2 linked regions of the Lonchura striata genome follow. The protein of the gene in region 2 interacts with the protein of the main gene of each other region in a pairwise test. Links are inferred from orthologs where the notes say so. Each region holds a gene or a part of one and is shown on either strand. Other genes may lie near its edges.

Region 1 (10,230 bases), on a different chromosome or scaffold from region 2:
GCTGACATAGAGGTAATACTGGTATTCTGGCTGTTTGTTTTTCAGTGAATATGTCCATAATTATTTCAAAAGGAAAAACTTGTTTTTTCCATTCCTATACTTATTACTCCTCAAGTTTATTTTAGAAGACAGAATGTAACAAATTTCCTTAATCCTTGCCTCTGTGGGAGGCAGAGAGGGCATGATAGGCTTTGTAGGTTTCAGCTTCTTTCAAAGCCATTGCGTTTTTCTTCTGTCAGTGGTCTCCCTCTTTTCCCGTCAGGGTCTTTCTTTCATTAGGTCATGTTGTGGACACCAGAATTCTGACTTGCTTGGGAGCTATGACTCATCCTCAGAAGGTCTGGTTGCTTTGGGGACTTCTCCTGTTGACATACGCAATAAACTGTGATGCAGTGCTGTTCATGAGCTCTGGCATTCCCTGTCTACTCAGCTGCTCCTCCATGGTAGAAGAAAAAAGAATTGCTCTCTCCTTTTTAAAATAATCCGTTTTAAAGGCAGTTTTGTACAGTTAGGTACACAGATGATTTTTTCTAAACAAATAACAATTTTATGCCTTTTAATTGTTGTGCGACTCCTTAAAGATACAGGCTACTGTGATAATTCTTAGCATGGATCCAGAAATATGACCATGGCTTGTCATATTCAGCACCTTCAAACTCCGTTGAAACATGGAATTTGAATTTACTTATGACCTTGTTAAATTGTATGCACATAGCATGAATAATTTTACAGATACACATTAAGGATCCAGAGTTCATCCTCTTGATTCTCTGGAAACAATATAGTATTTTTCTTTTTCAATAACAGGTCTTCATTACAACAAACATGGTGAATTGCACACACTGGCACTGCTGGCCACTAAGCAAGCCAGTTAGTGGTTTGGTCACCCACTATAACTGGGCAGCTCCCGTTTTTCTTAGGGTCTGACAAACCCAGATGACAGCATCCTCAGTTTTCACACTGCAGTGGTGTATTCCTCTCTCCATCTTTCCAGGCTGCATGCAGTGTGATCTGAGAAATGCTTGTTAGGCCTTGGCTTTGGAAACACCACCTGGGCTCAGCTCTTTTCAAGCTTATCAGAAACACTGTCTGCTCCCAGGAATTGCTAACAAGCTGCTGTTTTCCTTATGACCACCCTTGGAAAATATTCCACCTACCTGAATGGCACAACATTCCTGTTTCCACACTTATGGAGAAAGTGAGGACACAAACCCTGAACAGGATGAAACATTGTTATGACAAAAGCCTATAGGCTCTTGCAAGCCTCTAAACAGCAGTCCAAAATGGGACCCTTTGAGGTCTCCTGGACTGCAGCAAGCTACAAACAGCAACCTCCCTCTGAGCGAGATGCCTCTCAGAGCCTCATGTATGGAGGATCACTGAAACAAGCTGTATCCTGGGCCAATATGCACGCTCCTCAAGGCCCAATCCTTTGCCCATTGGGAGATGCAAGAGCATCCAAAGTGAGTATTTGATTGATCTCTGGGGGGAATTTTTCACAGGCACCTTGCTTGCACTGACTCCTCATGTCCTTGTGCATGCCTCTGTGCATATGCTGTAGCAAATCAAAGAAATACTGCTTTCTTAGCTGTCTAAGTACCTTGGTTATCTAAGTAAGTTAGGCAAGTGAGGAAGGTTATGTTAAAAACTCACTTAAATGCTGTTAAGTATTGTTCTTTTGCTAAATTGTTAAACATAAGTTATAAGCTACGTGTTGCTAAGAGTTGTTCTTCTGATGAGTTGCTAACTTCAAAATTATGAATTAGGTTAAATGCTCTTCAGTGTTATTCTCAGTAAATTGCTACAGTTAGGTTAAGTTGTAAATTAAATTTAAGCTATAAAATAGGTATAAGTTAAGTGTTCTTCCTATGTTAAATTGTTAGGCTTAAGGTATAAGTAAAATTGGAGTGCTGTTAAGCTTTCAGGCCCTGTTCCTTTTTATCCTTGCCCACGCTATCTTTTGTCACACACACACCTAAGGGAGCACACACCCCTATATAGTTCTCAGTTCATTACTGTTTTGATTGCCTGGATTTTGTTTGGTTTTCTTGTTGCTTGTTTTCCCTTGTTGTGCCTTGGCTGTCCTATGAGTAGTAGAGTTAGTCTTGCCAATGAATTTTTCGTGCTTTGCCACTTAATATTAAATCTGATTTTTCGTCATATCCTTGCCGATGACTTTTTAACTGATCTCAAACACTCTCGTTCATAACACAAGGATTGTACAAATTTGTCTGTATAAATTCTTTTTCTACAAGAAAAGCAATCTCTGTGATATTTCTGACCAAAGTGACTTCAAGCAAAAATCTCCATCGACCCTGACTTGTCAAAACAGTCAAACTGATTTATAAACCCAAACAAAAAAAATCTAGGCAAGGGCACAGTTAGATTTTGCTTAGCTTGCTTATCATCTTTTGAAGGAAGGGAAAACACCAAAGAGAACAAAACAGAACAAGGACATGAATCCAACCGCCACTAGAATCTCTTGATTTTGCACCCGCCAGGCTTAGAGAGGGCGATCTGGTTTGTGACATCTCCCCGCCCTGCCTCTCTGCGTGCCTTGGGGAAGGAAAATCCTTCCGACGGTGTTACACAAGGTCACGCAACTCATCCCCCCGCTCCCCGGGCGGGACGTCCCGGCTGCAGAGCTGGCTGCCGGCACACACCGCGGGCACACACCGCGGGCACACACCGCGGGCACACACCGCGGGCACACACCGCGGGCACACACGCACCGCGGGCACACACCGCGGGCACACACCGCGGGCACACACGCACCGCGGGCCCCGCCCGGCTGCGGCGAGCCCAGCCCGGAGCGGCCCCGCGGGACAGCGCGGCCAGCCCGAGACGCGGCCGGCCCCGCTCCGCACCGCAGCGAAGAGCTCCGCAGGGCTGCCCTGGCCGCTGCACGCCTCTCTCATGCCCACTCCGCCTTTTCTTTAAAAAAAACCCCAAACCAAACAAAATCCGATCAGCCCCTAGCCCGTTCCCTCCTGTAGCAGGTGGAGGGATGTGGTCCGCGGGCTTCAGCCGTCCTGACAGTTCCCGCGTATCCTGCCTCGGCAGGACTTGGTATCGACCCCCGCGACACCCCGCCTCGCCCCCTCACCTTAACCACGTCGTCGTTGAGGTGCTTGGGGTCTCGGTTGACCAGGTCGATCTCTTTGGTGTGCACATCGTGCACCGCCTTTTCGCTCAGCTCATCTGCCATCATCTTGTTGTTGGGCTTGTAGATGTTGCCCTGCTCCCGGACGGGCGCAGTGTACAGAAAACCCTGCGGAGAGCAGAGGGAGCGCGGGCAGGAGGGGAGAGCCCAGTGAGGCGGGGAGAGGCGGGGAGGGGCGGGGAGGGCAGGGCAGGGCAGGGCCGCTCCGGTCCGCGCAGGAGGGCGGGCTGGGGAGGCGGCCCCGGGTCCCGCGGGCTCCGGGCTGCGGGGCGGCCTCGGCCGGCTATTTAACCGCGGCCGCGGGCGCACACCACACCCCCGCCGTGCCAGGCGCCGGCTCCCGCTCCCGCCGCCAGGCGGCCCCGGCCCCGCGGCGTTGCCCCGGGACGGAGCGAGTGGCCCCTCGCTGGGGTGGGCGCTGGCGTGGCCCCGCGGGCACGGCAGGGAGCGTCCGGGGCTCGCCGCACAGCGCCCTCCCCGTACTGCCCTCGCCCTACCGCCCATGCTGTGCTGACCTGGGCACGGCGCCTGTACCACCCTGACCTCACTATACTTGCCCCTCTCTCTATACCGCCCTTCATTCAGGGCCATCACCGTACCCTCTCCATCCCAGTGCTCTCGCTGTAGAGCTCTCCATACACCGCTCTTCCCGCACGACACCCAGCAGCTCCCCTCCCCGCGCCCCGCCGGGGACGAGCGCCCCGGCTTCCCCTGACCCGCCGCCCCGGCCCGCAGGTGCCCGGCCGTCCGCCCTCCTGCCGCCGAGCCACCCCTCGCCCCGCTGCTCCGATGGGTCAGGGAGCCTGGGGTCCGAGCCGCTGCAGGCAGTCGGCGGCGGGGCAGCATCCTAGCCCCATGGTCCGGTGGTCCTACCTCCGAGTCTACGTATTTGGTGCCGGACATGCTGCCGCGGGCTGCTGACGGCTCTGCCGCGAGTTACTCTGCCCTGTGACTTGTAGGACCGGAGGCAGGACGATTCCGCTGTGCGGAGCGACCGGCCGGGGGAGGTAGCTGCGAGGAGAGGGCTGGCCGCTGGCCAGGGCGGTCCCGGCCTCCGGCCGGGCTGGATGACAGCGGCGGTACGGCCCCGCACACGGCGGGCGGCCGGGAGCCGCCGGGGTGGGAGGGGAAAACAGCCCTGCCCCGGCAACCTGGGATCGGGCGGACCCAGGTCCGTGCGGAGACAGGGACTCGACGGGGAGAGGGACACGGTCTCCTCCGCGAAGTCCGCCCTGGTCCGGCTGCCCACGACCCCCACCCCCGTCAGTGGGACGCGACAGTGGCTGCGTGCGGCAGAGCCACCTGGGCAAGATGGGGGGGTGGAGGGGGTGGGGCAAGGAAGCAGTGAGGAAATGGAAAACTTTAATTGTGTTCAGCATCCAGAGCGAGCGAGGTGTTTGCCGGGCTCCCCTCTGCCGGCTTTGACAATAGTTTACACAGAAGCATCGCTGCTGTAGGAACAATTGTGAAAACTTGGATATACCTGGGATGAAGAAATAGAGATTTTTCTCAATTGGTTCATTTCAAAACTATTCAAATATTTAACACTTCTGCACGTTAACACTGCTCTATTTTTCCCGGGAAGAGATTGATCCATGCATGTCTGCCATGCACATTAACCACTGGGATTAACTTTTAAAGGGGAACAGTGTGACACCATTTTGCCATGCTCTGTTCTCAAGGCTTTTTGTAAGCTCAGGGGCATATGTAGATGTACATGGTATAAATATAAACATTCATCACCGTATTCAAGATGGCTAAGGTTAGTGTCGCAGCATTACTTTACATTTAAAAAATGAATTATATTTCATTTTTTTTGTGTGAATGTGTTTGCAGCTAATAGTGTTGTGTTAGGAAATCAGACTATGGTGAAAGATTTATAACATTAACAGAAAAATTGTGACCTTAGTGTTATGCCATTTAGCACAGAATTGCAGCAGAAAATTCCTAACTGCAGTATATTTGGCTTTGGCGCTTCAACAGAGAAATGACCTCGAAGAAGCCCCTGGCTAAGATGGATTTAGGTGCCACAGATGTAAATAACTGCACCTGTTGGAAATGCAGTCCACATGGACATGTGTTGCTGATACATTGGTAAGCAGTCAACTTTCCTTTATATTGCTTGTAAACTTTGGAACAAATGCCTTGGATGGAAGATTTCCAACTTTCCAAGTTAGTTGTAATTTTTAAAAGTAACTTTTTATTGATGCAATAATTCACTTAAGCCATTGTTAGAATATTTTTGCCTGTCCAAGCTTTTTAGCGTGAATATGCACCCAAATGAGTGTATTAAAGGACACAGACCCTGCAATTTTTCCATCCATCTGAAAAAAAAATTGCAAGACAGTTCTTTGTTTTCATATCCAGGAAATTTTTCAATTAGTCACTGTCTTCCATATGAATCAGAACATTTTGATCCATCATTTAATATGACTCTATATCTCAAGAATGACTTTAAAGAAAGAGAAATAAGAGAGATACTTGTCAATTTGAAATGCTGAATTGATCCTGGAATAGTTTTTCAGAACCACAGTCCCCTTTAAAAAATATTTCTGAATCACACAACACTACTGCAGCTAGAATAATATCATAAACTAGTGGAATTTGTAAGTTTTATGAGATGAATTCCAGAATAGGCTGCATACAAAGTGAAATGAACATTAGCAGTGCTTTCTGGAGCTGGAATATCAAGAGGATAGGCTATTTAGAAAAAGGTATGGGTACTACTAAGCAGTAAGAGTGAGCAAGTTACATCTGCAGAGATGGAAAGGGATGAAGCCATGGCCTGTTGCCTCTAGCACTGCTGCATGAGAAATACACACTAACTCAACAGCCAGAGACCTGTGGCATGGATGCACACAGGTACAACCAACTCCTATGGCATGAATGCACACAGGAGTTCTGCAAGGATCCCCTGTTACACTCAGAGGAAGAGTAATAGCTCAATGGGAAAGAGCCTTGCAGAAATGTTCTGAAAGTGCAAAGGCTCCATTCCCCTTCTCAGTTACTATGAATAGATTATCCAGGGGTGGCCAGAAATTACCAGAAATTGTAAACACTCAAACTGGCCTTTGAAACACCAGCCAGTCTTCTCATGGAGCTTTGCTGTGTCTTTAGTAGTCCAGGTCAATTGCTAAGCAGGACTACATGACACCTTGGTTGGCCACCTCACTGCCTTTCTTCATCACGCCAGCCTTACGCATTTCATACCTATTTTAAAGAAATTTTTATTGCTTCAAAACCTTTTTACTGAAATTTCAAACCTCAGGATTACCTTAGTTAAAAACTTGCTCTAAACCTGGAGCAATGTGCAATTTATGATTTTTTTTTTTCCACTTTGAGGGGAGAAAAAGTTTTGTTACGGGTAGTATTCCCAGAAACCAGTGGGGGAAAAAAAAAGGATTTAACAAAACCCCTCAAAAACTGGCAGAAAATTAGTTATGAAACTGACTTGAATGTGGATGACTGCTCACTGTCTTTGTCAGGTAACAAACACTCCTTCTTTCTCCATTCCTCACCCCCCTTTTTGTTTTAAGCTTGTGTAGTTATTCCAGTTATGGTATTAGCAACACTCCTGATATATTCCAATGTCAGCAAGATCGAAATCAACCCTGGGAAACTGTTTCCTTTATGTATAGTTTCAACACCAACAAGGCTGTCAGGTAACAGAGGCAGTCCATGAGCAGCCTGCCTTACGCAGAGCACTTAAAAACCTGAGGCTTAGGAGTGAAAGATCATTGCTTGTGTGTCTTCTGTTCAACTCTTAACCACATCATTTTATGTATGGTTTTGTATGTTTTGCTGGATAAAAGCCTTAGCTGCCAAAACTGTTGGTACTGAGTTTTTAGCAGTCTTGCTACTGTTTTCACCCTGTTGTGCATGATAACAAGCATTAGGATAGGATTAGCATGCAGGCCAATGTTTTCCTCATTCCATTATTTAAAGACTTGTAGTCCTAGAGGATTCATGGTGGTCATGCCGCCCCCACTCTCTGGAGGGGTTCTGTATTTTAAAATGTAAATCACTGGATCAGAATTTTCCTATAGAGACAGGTTCCCCTCACCCTAGTATACAGGGCTGCAGGTTCACGTACACATTTGGTATTTGGCCTGTTTGTGCCATTAATCCAAGGATTAGTTATAGCTGGAGAGATGGGTAGCTCTTCTCACATTCCTTCTGTCTCACAACTTCTAGATAGGAGTGATTTCATTTTATGTGCAAGTGATGCTGCCACAAAGCATTTCACAATAGCCTAAGGGCTAGAAGACTCAAGCCAACACCTGAGAAACCTGAAATCAATTTTTGCCTGAGGCATGCCACTGCATTTGGACTCACTCCTGGGAAACTGTATTTTGGGAAGTACCTTATTCTGCTGATACACAGTTAAGTATATTTTGAGGAGTCTAAGGCCCCCCTTTTGGGGTTCTGACTGGGCTTAGATGAGAAAGATGCCAAGTTGCTCAAATAAGGGCAGTTCTGGGCATGACAAAAGTAAAACTGTAGGCATTGTGGGGGGTTATGGGAAAGGGAGGTGCCTTTTGAGTTCAGACATGTTCCTGGTGGGTGGCAGCTGGGCAGGGATTACAGTTTTGGATCAAAATGCATGGCTTTTTCTGCTCTCAGTCTTTTATTAGAGCTAGCCCCTGTAGGTCTTTATCAAGATAGCTTGTAACTGCCTTGACTGGAGAGGCAAATAGATAGAAAGCTTTATTTCTGCAAGACTGTAAAACTTAGTCACTCATTCTCAACCCTTTTCAGTATCAAATACCTTGAAAACTGAGCTGGTCTGTGAACAGTGGTCTATGTCAATGCTGGTCTGTACCTTTCTTCTAGTTCTACAGTATTATTAAATGTTCATGTGTTTTATAGAAAATGTCAGACTATGAGAACTTGTCTCATTAATGGGACTTAACTACCCACTCCTTAAGGCTTATGTAGGATGGGCTTTTTGTCACTGCTTCTCTGCTTCTCTACCTAAGCATTGCCTGGGCAAAACCCTAGCTGATAAAGTTGTGATAGCTCTAATACTGTAAAATAAAAAAGCAAAATCAGGTACATAGGGTGAAAAGGCAGGTCTTACTGAGCTGAGACTGTTGGAAAAATAGACAAGCTTTCCTCAAGGTTTTAAATAAAAGTGAATCTCTATATTTTATCCCATCTGAGTGTCTTAAGTAGGGTCTGAATCAGTGCTATATGAAGGAGTCCTTCTTTCTCCCACTTGCAATTGGAAGGGAAGGCAATACAACAGCCAAAACCGAACACCTAACACACATGACACTCACCCCTGGCATCAAGTTGTGAGAGAAGTGCGCAGAGAAGAATCTGCTTCACTATTTTATGAAACTCTAGTTGCTTCCATTGGCCTTGCCAATTTCTGCAGCAAATACAACTTTTTATGTAGCACACCAAAGAAGCCAAGCCAAGCCAAGCCCAGCCCTGCCCAACATTTTGCATTAATCAGTACAGACTCTTTTCTCTGGAGGATGATTCAAAGCAGGAACCTATCTTAGCTCCTCTGAACTGCCCCTCAGAAGATGTTTTCCTTTTGTTACAATAAGCTTAGGAAGATTAGTGTAACCAAGATATGGTTAGCCTTTATTAATTAGCCTAATTTGTCAATCCCTGCATGAAGAAAGTACCTCCAATTTTAATGCCTAACTGCTGGTTCAGAATCTCTGACCCAGCAGTTCAACTCTAATTTTCACCATCACAGACAACAGACAACACTGGTAAAGTGTCTGGTGTTTGACCTTGTTCCATTTGCATTTTTATTAAAAAAAAAACCCAAACAGATGTAGTTTTCCATGTTTTTTTAAAAGAGTTAATAACAGCAATAGTTTTATCTCTGCAGGTGGGGAAATGATCACACCCTGTAAAAATAAAGGACTTATCATTCTTTGGCTTCTACTTTATAAGAGTGTGTGGTCTGAGGTCCCAGAGCTGCAGGGATGTTCTGAACTTTTTAGTCAGTGAATGCTTAAGTGAACTTTTTGGAAAGGTGGGAACAGACTCCTCATTTACTAATACATGAAAGTTTCTGTTAAGAATTTGTTTCAATTTATACAATGGACTACCAGGGTGGTGAAATATAAGATACAAATATAGAAGTTCCAGAATCAGATTAGGAGCATTTTAGGAAACAGCTCTCATAAGTAAGCAGGTTAAACTTCTCCATTAATTTAAATTAAGAAATCCATAAACACAAATCCAGGGTGAGCTCTGTATGTTAGTTGTGATCTTCATGAAAAACAAGATGCTGAAATATTTTGTAAGTCAGAACTGAGTTTCCAGCTCATGGTTGTAGACCTAAGGTCTGCAGTAACAAGAGACAGGCTGAAATAAAAACACCTCACACTTATTATTTGTAATGCCTCTACCATCATGCTGGAAAATCTACTCTTGTTACATTTTCCCCATTCCACAGACATGAAGATTCATCACAGTAATCTGAACCTAGTGTAAATTTTCTTACATTTGTTGCAGACAATGAGACTCAGTTTCTGGACTCTCTTGCCTAAATTCTCATTTGTAAGTTGCTTTTAAGGGATCAGCTGGGACGGTTTGTCCACATTTCAAACAAATTGGAGACAAACCTGCTCCCACATCTTAGAACACAATTCAGAGCTAGTTCCCATTCAGTCCCTGTTGTCCAACAGCACTGTGAGGTATTCACAGTATATGCTGTGCCAGACCTTCAGGATATATGTCAGAACCATAAAATCCTGAGAATGCTTGCCAGCCAGAGTTGCCTGGGGCAGACTCACACCTGAGTATTGGAGAGTCTGTAAATATTACTACTTTCTTCCACTCCTTTTACAGACAAAGTATTTGCCAAGCATCTAATATTTTACCCAAAGTCTGAGAGTGCACTTTTTATTTTCTTATAGTAAAGGCACACCTGTTCCAGAGAAAGATATTGCTATAAATATTTAAGAAACTAAGAGCTTTAATTACAAGTTTGCTTGAGTCTTGTAGAGGCTAGAGAAATGGTGAAAAGAACTAATCAATGACAAGCCTAAATCAAAATAAGAACAAACCAAACCATTCTACTTAATTGTGGTAGCTAG
Region 2 (9,314 bases):
GTAGGCAGAAATGACATTTCAGCTCACTGGCAGCCTGGGGAAAAGGCACACCGAGGTGTTCCCAGTTTTCCAGACAAGGAATCCCAGTTATCCTGGACAAGGGATCTCAGGTTTGCAATGTCCCATGATGTTCCAGAGCATCTCCCTAATAAAGATCATCTCTTGGACCCTCAGCTGATGAAAACTGTGGCAGCTCCAATAAAACCATCACACCCCAGCATCCAAGGAGGGGCTCTGATGTTTTTCTTAGGTTTATTGACTGTGGCTAAGGGAGGGTGCTGCAAACCATCTAGATCCTTCTGAGTCTGGGAAAAATCCCAGCTAAACTGCAATTTTGGCATGGCCAGCGTCTCTCAGGACAAGGCCTTCTCTCCACAGCCTTAGGAAAGGTGTGACTTGCACGGGTCGGGGCCAAATTTCTCTTAGGTATTTAACAACACGCCTGTTCCATGTGCTACCTCAGAGGAATTTGGCTTTTTTGAATGCAAAATCCTGCAAAACTGAGCAGAGTTGGAGCCAAAGCTCTTGAGGCCAAGCTGCTTTTGGCCTGTCAGTCTGGCAGGGGCTGGATGGGAGCACTAAACCACTGAAAACACCTTTTTAGCACAGAAATGAAGCAATCCAGCTGCAGAGAAGCAGCAGGGTTTTCCTCCTCCCACAGCACTAAAAAGCAAATACAATCAGAGGAGCTCTAGGATGTGATCCCACTTTATCTAACATGTATAAAAATACCCGAGAGCGGCAGGAGAAGCTGGAGAATAAAAGTAAGCAGTGGAAAGCATGGGGTTTGCCCAAAAAAACCCCAACACTATGACTCCATTGAACTCTCCCCTGTGCAGAACTCACCTGATCCCATCAGATGTCCCATAGCCCCTGGCATACACGTGAAGATGAAGCCGGTGATTTGTGATTTTTCCCAGCGACATTTTTGGTTATTTTGCAATCCTGTTTTTTACTGTCCCCCTTGTTTCACAAAGCTGCCGAGGCTCTCCGGCCAAGCTTGGTGCCTGTTCCCACTGGGTTTGGGGTCGTTCTCGGTGGAGCAGGATGAACCTCCATCCCCAGATTTCACTGCCAAGGTGAGGGACAGGTGGATTTTTTATTGCCTGTGGACGCTTTGTTGGGCACACAGGAGGAGCAGTGGGACAGGAACCAGGAAGGGGGTGCAGGAGCCACGATGTCCCGTGGGATGGAGGAGCTGGAACCATCTGGAAAGGCTTTTTGCGGGAAGAGCAAGGACCAAGGGGGATGGGAGAAGGGATGCCATGACAACCTCTGGGGGTTTCCCAGGAAACCATGGTCACCATGGCAACTGCATCACTCCGTCGGAATTAGTGACTTCCGCTGGAAGGCGTGTTCGCCACTTTAATCTTCTGGCGATAAGCGGCTGCGTCTCCTCCAAAGGCATTGCAAAATGAGGAGGAAATATCCCTTTGTCTGCGGCTGGGTGGGTTGGAGGCTCCCAGCCATAGCAAGGAGCCCGTCCTGGATCCTGCTCCGTGCCGACATCGCTCCGTGCGCCGGCGGCTCCCGAAAACATTCCAGTCTGCCTCTCCTCTCCCTCCTCCTGTACTCATCCCTGCTGCATGGCCACAGACTTGACATCGGAGGAAATAACTCCATCAGGTTACAGGGGAAGGGAATCCAGAATAGAAAACGAAGGCTTAGGGAATTTTTTTCTATTTAAATCAGCATTGATTGCACTCAGTCTCTGACCAGATTAGAATTTCATAAATGATCTAATGGGGAGAAAAAGGGAATCTGGGATGTGCCCGTAATGGCACATCACATGTTTCAATATTAAGCATCATTTAACGATGTGGTAACAGAGACTCTCTGCAGAATTAAATTATTATTTCCTCCCAGCCCCCTCCCAGTACACTCTGCCTCATTTTTCCCTCGTTCCTCCACCCAGTCCGAGTTTGTTAATCCAATAAGTTACTTGATGTGATGGAAGGGAGATTGGCTACACATTGCCCTTAGGGAAAGAGGGAGAAATTCAGGAGCAAAGGAAGAGGTTCTCCGTAAGCCCAAAAAGCAAAGCAGCTCTGCAACACGTTGCAGAAAAAACACCTGTTTTGACAGTGAGTGTGGTTTTTCTTCATCTTCCTTCTCTTTATCCTTTAGCTGTCCTCTTTTTCAGAGAATTTTAAATCCTTTTACTTTTGGATCTTTAGAAAGGAAGGATCTAAAAAAATAAAGGTATAAAAACGAGGGCACACACAGGACCGACGATGGTGCATGTTCCACACAACACCGACACACAGTCACTTTGCATTATTATTGGTATTATTATTGGTATTGTTGTACCGCATCCTCAGATTTCGTCACTGTTCGTTTGGTTTGGGTTTGTTTTAAACATCCGTAAAGATCTTTTTGATGTTCACACAGTTGGGATTGTTTGTGGTTGTGCAGTTGCCTGCTTTAAAGGCAGCCTGTTTGAATGCACTGTGATTGACCCCCCCTTCCTCAATCACCATGTACTCGGACTTGCTGAGGGTGGAATTGCTGCGAGCCTTCTTCATCTCCTCGCTGGACGAGAGGTGCTGGCAGCTCCCGACATGCATGTACTGGGCTTGTTCCTCACCTTCTGTCTCCCGGTGGTAGAAATAGTTGAAATTGGAGACGATGACGGGCACGGGCAGGGCGATGGTCAGCACCCCCGCGATGGCGCACAGAGACCCCACGATCTTGCCCCCAATGGTGATGGGGTGCATGTCCCCGTAGCCCACGGTGGTCATGGTGACCACAGCCCACCAGAAGGCATCAGGGATGCTACTGAACCCCGAGCTGGGGTCATCGGCTTCCGCGAAGTAAACGGCGCTGGAGAAGAGGATGACGCCGATGAAGAGGAAGAAGATGAGCAAACCCAGCTCCCTCATGCTGGCCTTGAGGGTCTGCCCCAGGATTTGCAGCCCCTTGGAGTGCCGGGAGAGCTTGAAGATGCGGAAGACCCTGACGAGGCGGATGACTCTGAGGATGGCCAAGGACATGGCTTGCTGGCCATTGCCTTGCCGCTCAGCCAGCTCCGTGCCCAGCGTGATGAAGTAGGGGATGATGGCCACAATGTCAATGATGTTCATGATGTTCTTGGAGAAAGTGGCCTTGCTGGGGCAGGCAAAGAAACGGACCAGCAGCTCAAAGGAGAACCAGATGATGCACAAAGTCTCCACCACAAAGAAAGGGTCGGTGAAGGATGACACCATGGAAGCAGGTGAGGATGTGGAGTTGGTGAAGACATCAGGTGGGAGAGGGCCGCTGCCTGTCCCGAAGGTCCCCCCAGTTCCCTCATAGTCATGGTCATCCCTGAATTCAGGCAGGGTCTCCAGACAGAAGATGACAATAGAGATAAGGATGACCAGGACAGAGACAATGGCAATGCCTCGGGCCGGCCCAGAGCTCTCGGGGTACTCGAAGAGGAGCCACACCTGGCGCTGAAACTCCTTCTCGGGAAGCGGCCGCTGCTCCTCCCGAATGAAACCCTCGTCCTCCCGAAACTTCTCCATGGCCTCCTCCCCCAGCTGGTAGAAGCGGATCTCCTCGGAGAAGATGTCGATGGGGACATTGACGGGACGCCGGATGCGCCCGCCCGACTGGTAGTAGTAGAGGATGGCGTCGAAGCTGGGACGGTTACGATCGAAAAAATACTCATTGCGGAGGGGGTCGAAGTAGCGCATCCTCTTCCGGGGGTCCCCCAGCAGCGTCTCGGGGAACTGTGCCAGGGTCTTGAGCTGGGTCTCGAAGCGCAGCCCCGAGATGTTGATCACCACGCGCTCGCAGCACTCGTGCTCCGCAGCGCCCGCGGGCTGCCCGGCGGGCACGGCCGGCGCCGGGGGCTGATCGTAGCGCTCCCCCCCGAGCGGCGCGGGAGGATGCTGCGGCTCCTCCAGCAAAGGGTCGCCGCCGCCGCCGCCTCCCACCACGGTCATGCTGCCTTCCTCCCCTTCTTCGCCCTCTTCCTCCTGCTGCTCGGGGCCCGGCTGGGGGGCGGCGGGGGGCTCGCTGTAGCCCAGGTTGTGGTGGCTGCTGGTCGAGCCGCCCCGCGGCTGCCGGCCGGCGGAGGAGGCGGCCGGAGAGTACAGCAAGCTCCGGCGCTCGTCCATAAAGGTGTGGGGCGGAAGGGGAAGGGGGGGAGGGGGGATCCGAGAGGCGGCAGCTGAAGCCTCTTCTTCCTCCTCTTCCTCCTCCTCCGGGCGGAGAGGGAGCAACAGCCGCCCAACTCCTCCAGCGGCTGCCGCTGCTCTGAAGAGCTGAGGCTCTTCTCAAAAAATCCGCCCCCAGCCCTGGCACCGCCTCACTCGGTCACCGCTCCCGGAGACACCCACCAGCCCCCCGGCCCTGCCCCGCAGCCCCCCGCCAGCTGCGGGCATCCCCTCCCACGCCCCTGCTTGGGGGAGCCCCATCCATCCCCCAGGCAGCGCCGAGGGGCTTCCGTCTCCTCTCGGGAGCATCCTTTGCTGCTCAGCGGGCTGCAAGCAGGAAGAGGGGTTTTTCCTGCCAGAACTGCTGCCTAGAAAGAGTTCTTCTGCCCTTCCCCAGGTGAAATGCAATTTTGACTCTGAATTTTCGCGTTTGCCTGTCGGTTTTCAGCTACGGTTTCACACGGTGGGAGGCTGTGGGCAGTGCAAAGCCGGTAGCGTGGCCAGACCCAACAGTTGTTTTGAATCAGCGTCTGGGTTGGGCTGGGGATTGTTTTTCTCTGTCTAGGAGAGCATGTGCATGTGTGTGTGTCCATGAGTGTGGGTGCACACGTGTGTGTGTGCGTGTGCTTCCCCCACCAAAATAAACCCAGAAGCAGAGCCAGCCCTCTACCAAGGAGGCTTCAGGCTGAACCCAAACCTGCATTTCAGACTTTCCATCAAGAAAGCCAAACCCCTTCTACTTCTTTTTCTTTCTTTCTCTCTTCAGTTGATCTTTTAAAGCAAATATTCAATTGTGAGCAAAAGGGACTTTTCAGGCAAAAACCTCCTCTGCAGGAGCCCTGAGCTGGAAAACACCCCATCCCCAGGAAACGTGCATGAGGGACACCCTCTGATCTCTGCACTCCCAGCTCTCCCCCAGCTCCCCATTTTTCCAACCCCCTGCAGTAACTGAAACACTTTAATGCCCAGCCATGTGCCAAGGGGGTTTAGGCAATTCAGGGAGCTCCTAGCTTGGGAAAAAGTAATGGAATGATTTGGGTTGAAAGGGACTTGAAAGCTCATCTCATTCCACGCCCCTGCCATGGGCACTCCTTGCACTGGACCAAGAGTTTGACCATGAGGAGAGGAGAGGAGAGGAGAGGAGAGGAGAGGAGAGGAGAGGAGAGGAGAGGAGAGGAGAGGAGAGGAGAGGAGAGGAGAGGAGAGGAGAGGAGAGGAGAGGAGAGGAGAGGAGAGGAGAGGAGAGGAGAGGAGAGGAGAGGAGAGGAGAGGAGAGGAGAGGAGAGGAGAGGAGAGGAGAGGAGAGGAGAGGAGAGGAGAGGAGAGGAGAGGAGAGGAGAGGAGAGGAGAGGAGAGGAGAGGAGAGGAGAGGAGAGGAGAGGAGAGGAGAGGAGAGGAGAGGAGAGGAGAGGAGAGGAGAGGAGAGGAGAGGAGAGGAGAGGAGAGGAGAGGAGAGGAGAGGAGAGGAGAGGAGAGGAGAGGAGAGGAGAGGAGAGGAGAGGAGAGGAGAGGAGAGGAGAGGAGAGGAGAGGAGAGGAGAGGAGAGGAGAGGAGAGGGCCTACATTCCCTTCCAGAGCCAGATGGGTGGTCCTGCCACGATGGAGATTAAAACCCCTCCACCATCCCCACTTGAGCTCATCATCCCAGTTATTTTTAACCAGCACAGCCTTCAGAAGGTAGGGGGAACAACAGATGAAAAGATCAAACTTATTTATACTTTAAATCAGAAACAAGCTGTCCAAAATACCCAAATCTGGGGAGGTAACAACAATAAATACTGGTGCAAGAGCTGATTTCAAGACCCTGAATGGCAGATGAACAGTGAGGATGGAGCCTGGCTGGGCTGAGCCCACTGACCTCTTTGCTGACAGGGGGGAAACACCCTCTGCCACAGAAACCCTGGAGAATTCCCGAGGGAATGAGTCCCAGCAAGGTGTGCATGGAAAGATGGATGGCCCCACACAAGGAGAATTGTCTCCAGGCCATGTCACCCCACCCCAGACTTGGACACAAGTCCCTTGTTGCTAGCTCCAGCCTTGGCTTTAAGCCCCAATTTTGACAGCTGCTTTTCTTGAGGGTGTGGATGTCCTGGGAGGAGGGAGTTGGGAGGTTGCTCCCCCACCATTCCTGCAGCAGGTCATGGTGCTAACCAGCACCATACTCGCAGGGAGAGCATCTCCTCCTCCCTCCCAACCCACAGCATCTCCCAGCCATCCCAAAACCCAGACAAGGCAGGAAGCAAAGCCCTGGAGCACCATTAACCCTTGAGCTCCCCTTGTTGCCTGTAGGTTGGGAAAAAATCCTGTAATCCTTCACACACAAGTCTGAGGCTTTATTTTCATGAAAATGAAATAACCATCATCCCTTCACCACATATATGTGTGTGGCGGCTAAAAACTTGTCTGGCTCATCCCTTTTCCCTGCTAGGATTTCTGCCAATAAATCAGTGTTGTCTGGTTTAAGGCAAACAAATGAGGCTGCCTCAAACCATAACCATTTATTGAAGACACAAGGTTCGAGGCACAAGGTGTAACTTCCATAATTGCAATAATTTACTCTGCATCTGTCAGGGGCAAACCCATCAGGAATTACCGAGAGAGCCACAGACCTTTGGGATACTGCTTGGAAAATCCTTTCCTTTAAGAGCATCAGGATTAAGCTGGTACCCCCCAGCTGCAGCACAGCAGCAGACATTAACCCCTGAGCTCCGGCGGCTTTGGTCGGGAGTCGAGCTGGGATTTCTCCCATCCCGCCGTGGCCTCCTGGCCCTGTTTACTCCTCCGCTGCTTCCCTGTAATCCTATCAAAGCCAATTAGGCTGTGCCAGGCGAGCAGCAGCGCTGCAGGCGGAGAGCAGCCGAGGGGCAGATCCTCCCCAGCCCTTCCCTCAGCTCCTGCTTTCCCCTGGCTCTCCAGCAGAGCTTTGGGGCAGCATCGGGGATGCAGCAAGGGCATCACCTCCCCTGTGAGCCCCCGCCAGCCTCACCCGCCTTCCCTGCAGGAGTTTGCATCCAGGAGCTGCACAAGCCCGGCATTTGTCAAGCAGAAATAGAGGTGGTCCTAGGCCAGGCTTCAAAACCTGGAGGTCTGAGCACAAGGGAAGGGGAATGAAAGCCCAGGGGAAGGGACATCTCCCTGGTGTCCAACCTGGCCAAAGCTTTCTCATAAGCTGGGAGCTCGATGCAGCACCAAAACATCTCCTCCAGGATGTGGTTTGCTGTCTAATGCGAGATGTCCCAGTGTTCCCTCTGCAAATTTCCTACTGCTTTTTCATCCATCTCTTCTGCTGCATCTGGTCTCAACAAATTTAATTTTGTTCCTAACGGCCATTTAAGAAATCCCCCTGTGCAATGGTCCACAGGCTGCCCTGGAACAGCACATGCAGTTTCTATGAGGAAGCAGAGCGAGCATTGCTTTTTTCCTCCCTTAATGGCCTTCTCAGGGCAGATTTCCAAGCAGAGGGGATGAACAACTTCCCTCTTTCCACAGCCAGACCCAGACCATGAGGGGAATTACCCCAGCATCCCCCTCCCGGGGGCACATGGGCTGCAGAAAACATGTGGGGCCTTCATCCCAGCTCTCAGTTATTCCCAGCCATGGGCTGCCTTGGCATCCTGCTTCCACCTTGAAATTTTCCTTCCTTCTTGGTGAATCCCAGTGCCTCTGAAGCAGCATTTTGGGTTGTCCTTTTCCCCCACAGAGCTCCCCATGGCAGCATCAGCAGCCAGGCAGTGTGTACAGAATCCAGCCTGGCTGTGAGCAGGATCTCACCCACCTTCCCCTCCCTCCCGTTTCAATGGGAACTCTTCTTCCATTGATAAATCTGGGACAAATCTGCTCATCTTTACTTTGCAGGATCAGAAACCTCTCAGCGCTCATGCAGTTACAGTAATACCTTAATGCACTGCAAATGCATTGTCAGTCCTCCCACAGCAAAGCCCCAACTGCTCCAGCCAGGCAGTGCAGCTTTAACTCACTCCAGGTTTCTCCTCTCGGGAACATGAGCCCTCCTGTGCTGCTCAGAATGGACAAATGTCCTCGAGAAAGGATTGAGGTTGTCACTCAGGTCACCAATCACAGGCAGGACTGCAGGGACTGCTGGCAGCAAACACAGTTCAGCATCAACCCAGACTTTTGAGATGAACTCGGAGCAATCACAGAATCACAGAATCATGGACTTGTTTAGGTTGGAAAAGCTCTCTAAGGTGATGGAGTCCAACTGTCCACCTAACTGCCAAGGCAAGCACTAGACCATGTCCCCAGGTGCCACATCTATGTGTCTTTTAAATCCCTCCAGGGATGGGGACTCCACCATTGCCATGGTGAGACTGTGATAGTGTCATATCTTGGGAAAGAAATTTCCCCTAATATCCAACCTAAACCTCACCAGCACAACTTGAGGCCATTTCCCCTTGTCCTGACTATCAGCAATCAGGGAATAAGTGGAACAATAAAACCTCTGGTTCCAGACTGGCCAGTCCTGCCGTCCTCACCTTCTCCCCTATGGAGACAGGAGGTGGGAGCATCCCCGCAGTCCGTGAGCTCACACCCTTCCAGAAGAACTGGGACACTATTCCCAGTGTACTCCCAGATGGGCTCATCTCATTCCCAGAAATCAGGGATCCTAGCTCATCTTCTCACTGAGCCACAAAAGCATCCAGTGAGGCTTCCCTCTCTGGGGTAAGACAAATTCTCCACCAACACTGTCCAGGGAGACAGTGGGAAGGATGGGAACTGAATCTTGATTTTCCGGGATGGATTTAGAACTCTAACTCTGGAGCACACCATTCCTATTCCTGTCGCTGTCTTAGTCAGACTCCAGGTATAGCTCAGCCGTGGAGTGAATCCTTCAATCCCTCCGTGCCTCAGTTTCTCAGCTGTGCTTTGAGGGAGTATTTCTCGCCTCCCACCTGGAGTTTATTTCAATCCTACACCAGAAGCTTTTCACTGCACTCCCAGTTGCGGAGTTTTTCCTCCTTTCTCAGTTGTGAAAGATACTGAAATATGGAAGAGGGAGGAAAATCCAGTGCTGTGTAACCCCTGCAGCTTGCTCAGCCCTAGGCACAGGTGGAAAGCATCACTGGGAGCTCGCCAGGGAAGTGAGGAGACGCCTCTCTCAGACAGGAATTTAAACCAGGCACACAGGACCCCAGGCACCCTGGGATCCTCTCC

What was found. The genes of interacting proteins can lie anywhere in the genome.
Region 1: the proteins of potassium voltage-gated channel subfamily A member 3-like (region 2) and CAV1 come close enough for resonance energy transfer, tested with the Homo sapiens proteins (2 studies listed by BioGRID). The link is inferred for Lonchura striata from reciprocal best matches to the Homo sapiens genes KCNA3 and CAV1.

Annotation. Positions count from the first base shown.
Region 1 is NC_134607.1:34,681,807-34,692,036, forward strand, and holds the start of CAV1 (caveolin-1), read right to left. Parts: upstream 4,191-10,230; 5' UTR 4,067-4,190; coding exon 4,037-4,066; intron 3,272-4,036; coding exon 3,107-3,271; intron 1-3,106. UniProt on the Homo sapiens protein: May act as a scaffolding protein within caveolar membranes. Forms a stable heterooligomeric complex with CAV2 that targets to lipid rafts and drives caveolae formation. Mediates the recruitment of CAVIN proteins (CAVIN1/2/3/4) to the caveolae.
Region 2 is NC_134632.1:1,508,299-1,517,612, forward strand, and holds the start of potassium voltage-gated channel subfamily A member 3-like, read right to left. Parts: upstream 4,104-9,314; coding exon 2,355-4,103; 3' UTR 847-2,354; intron 1-846.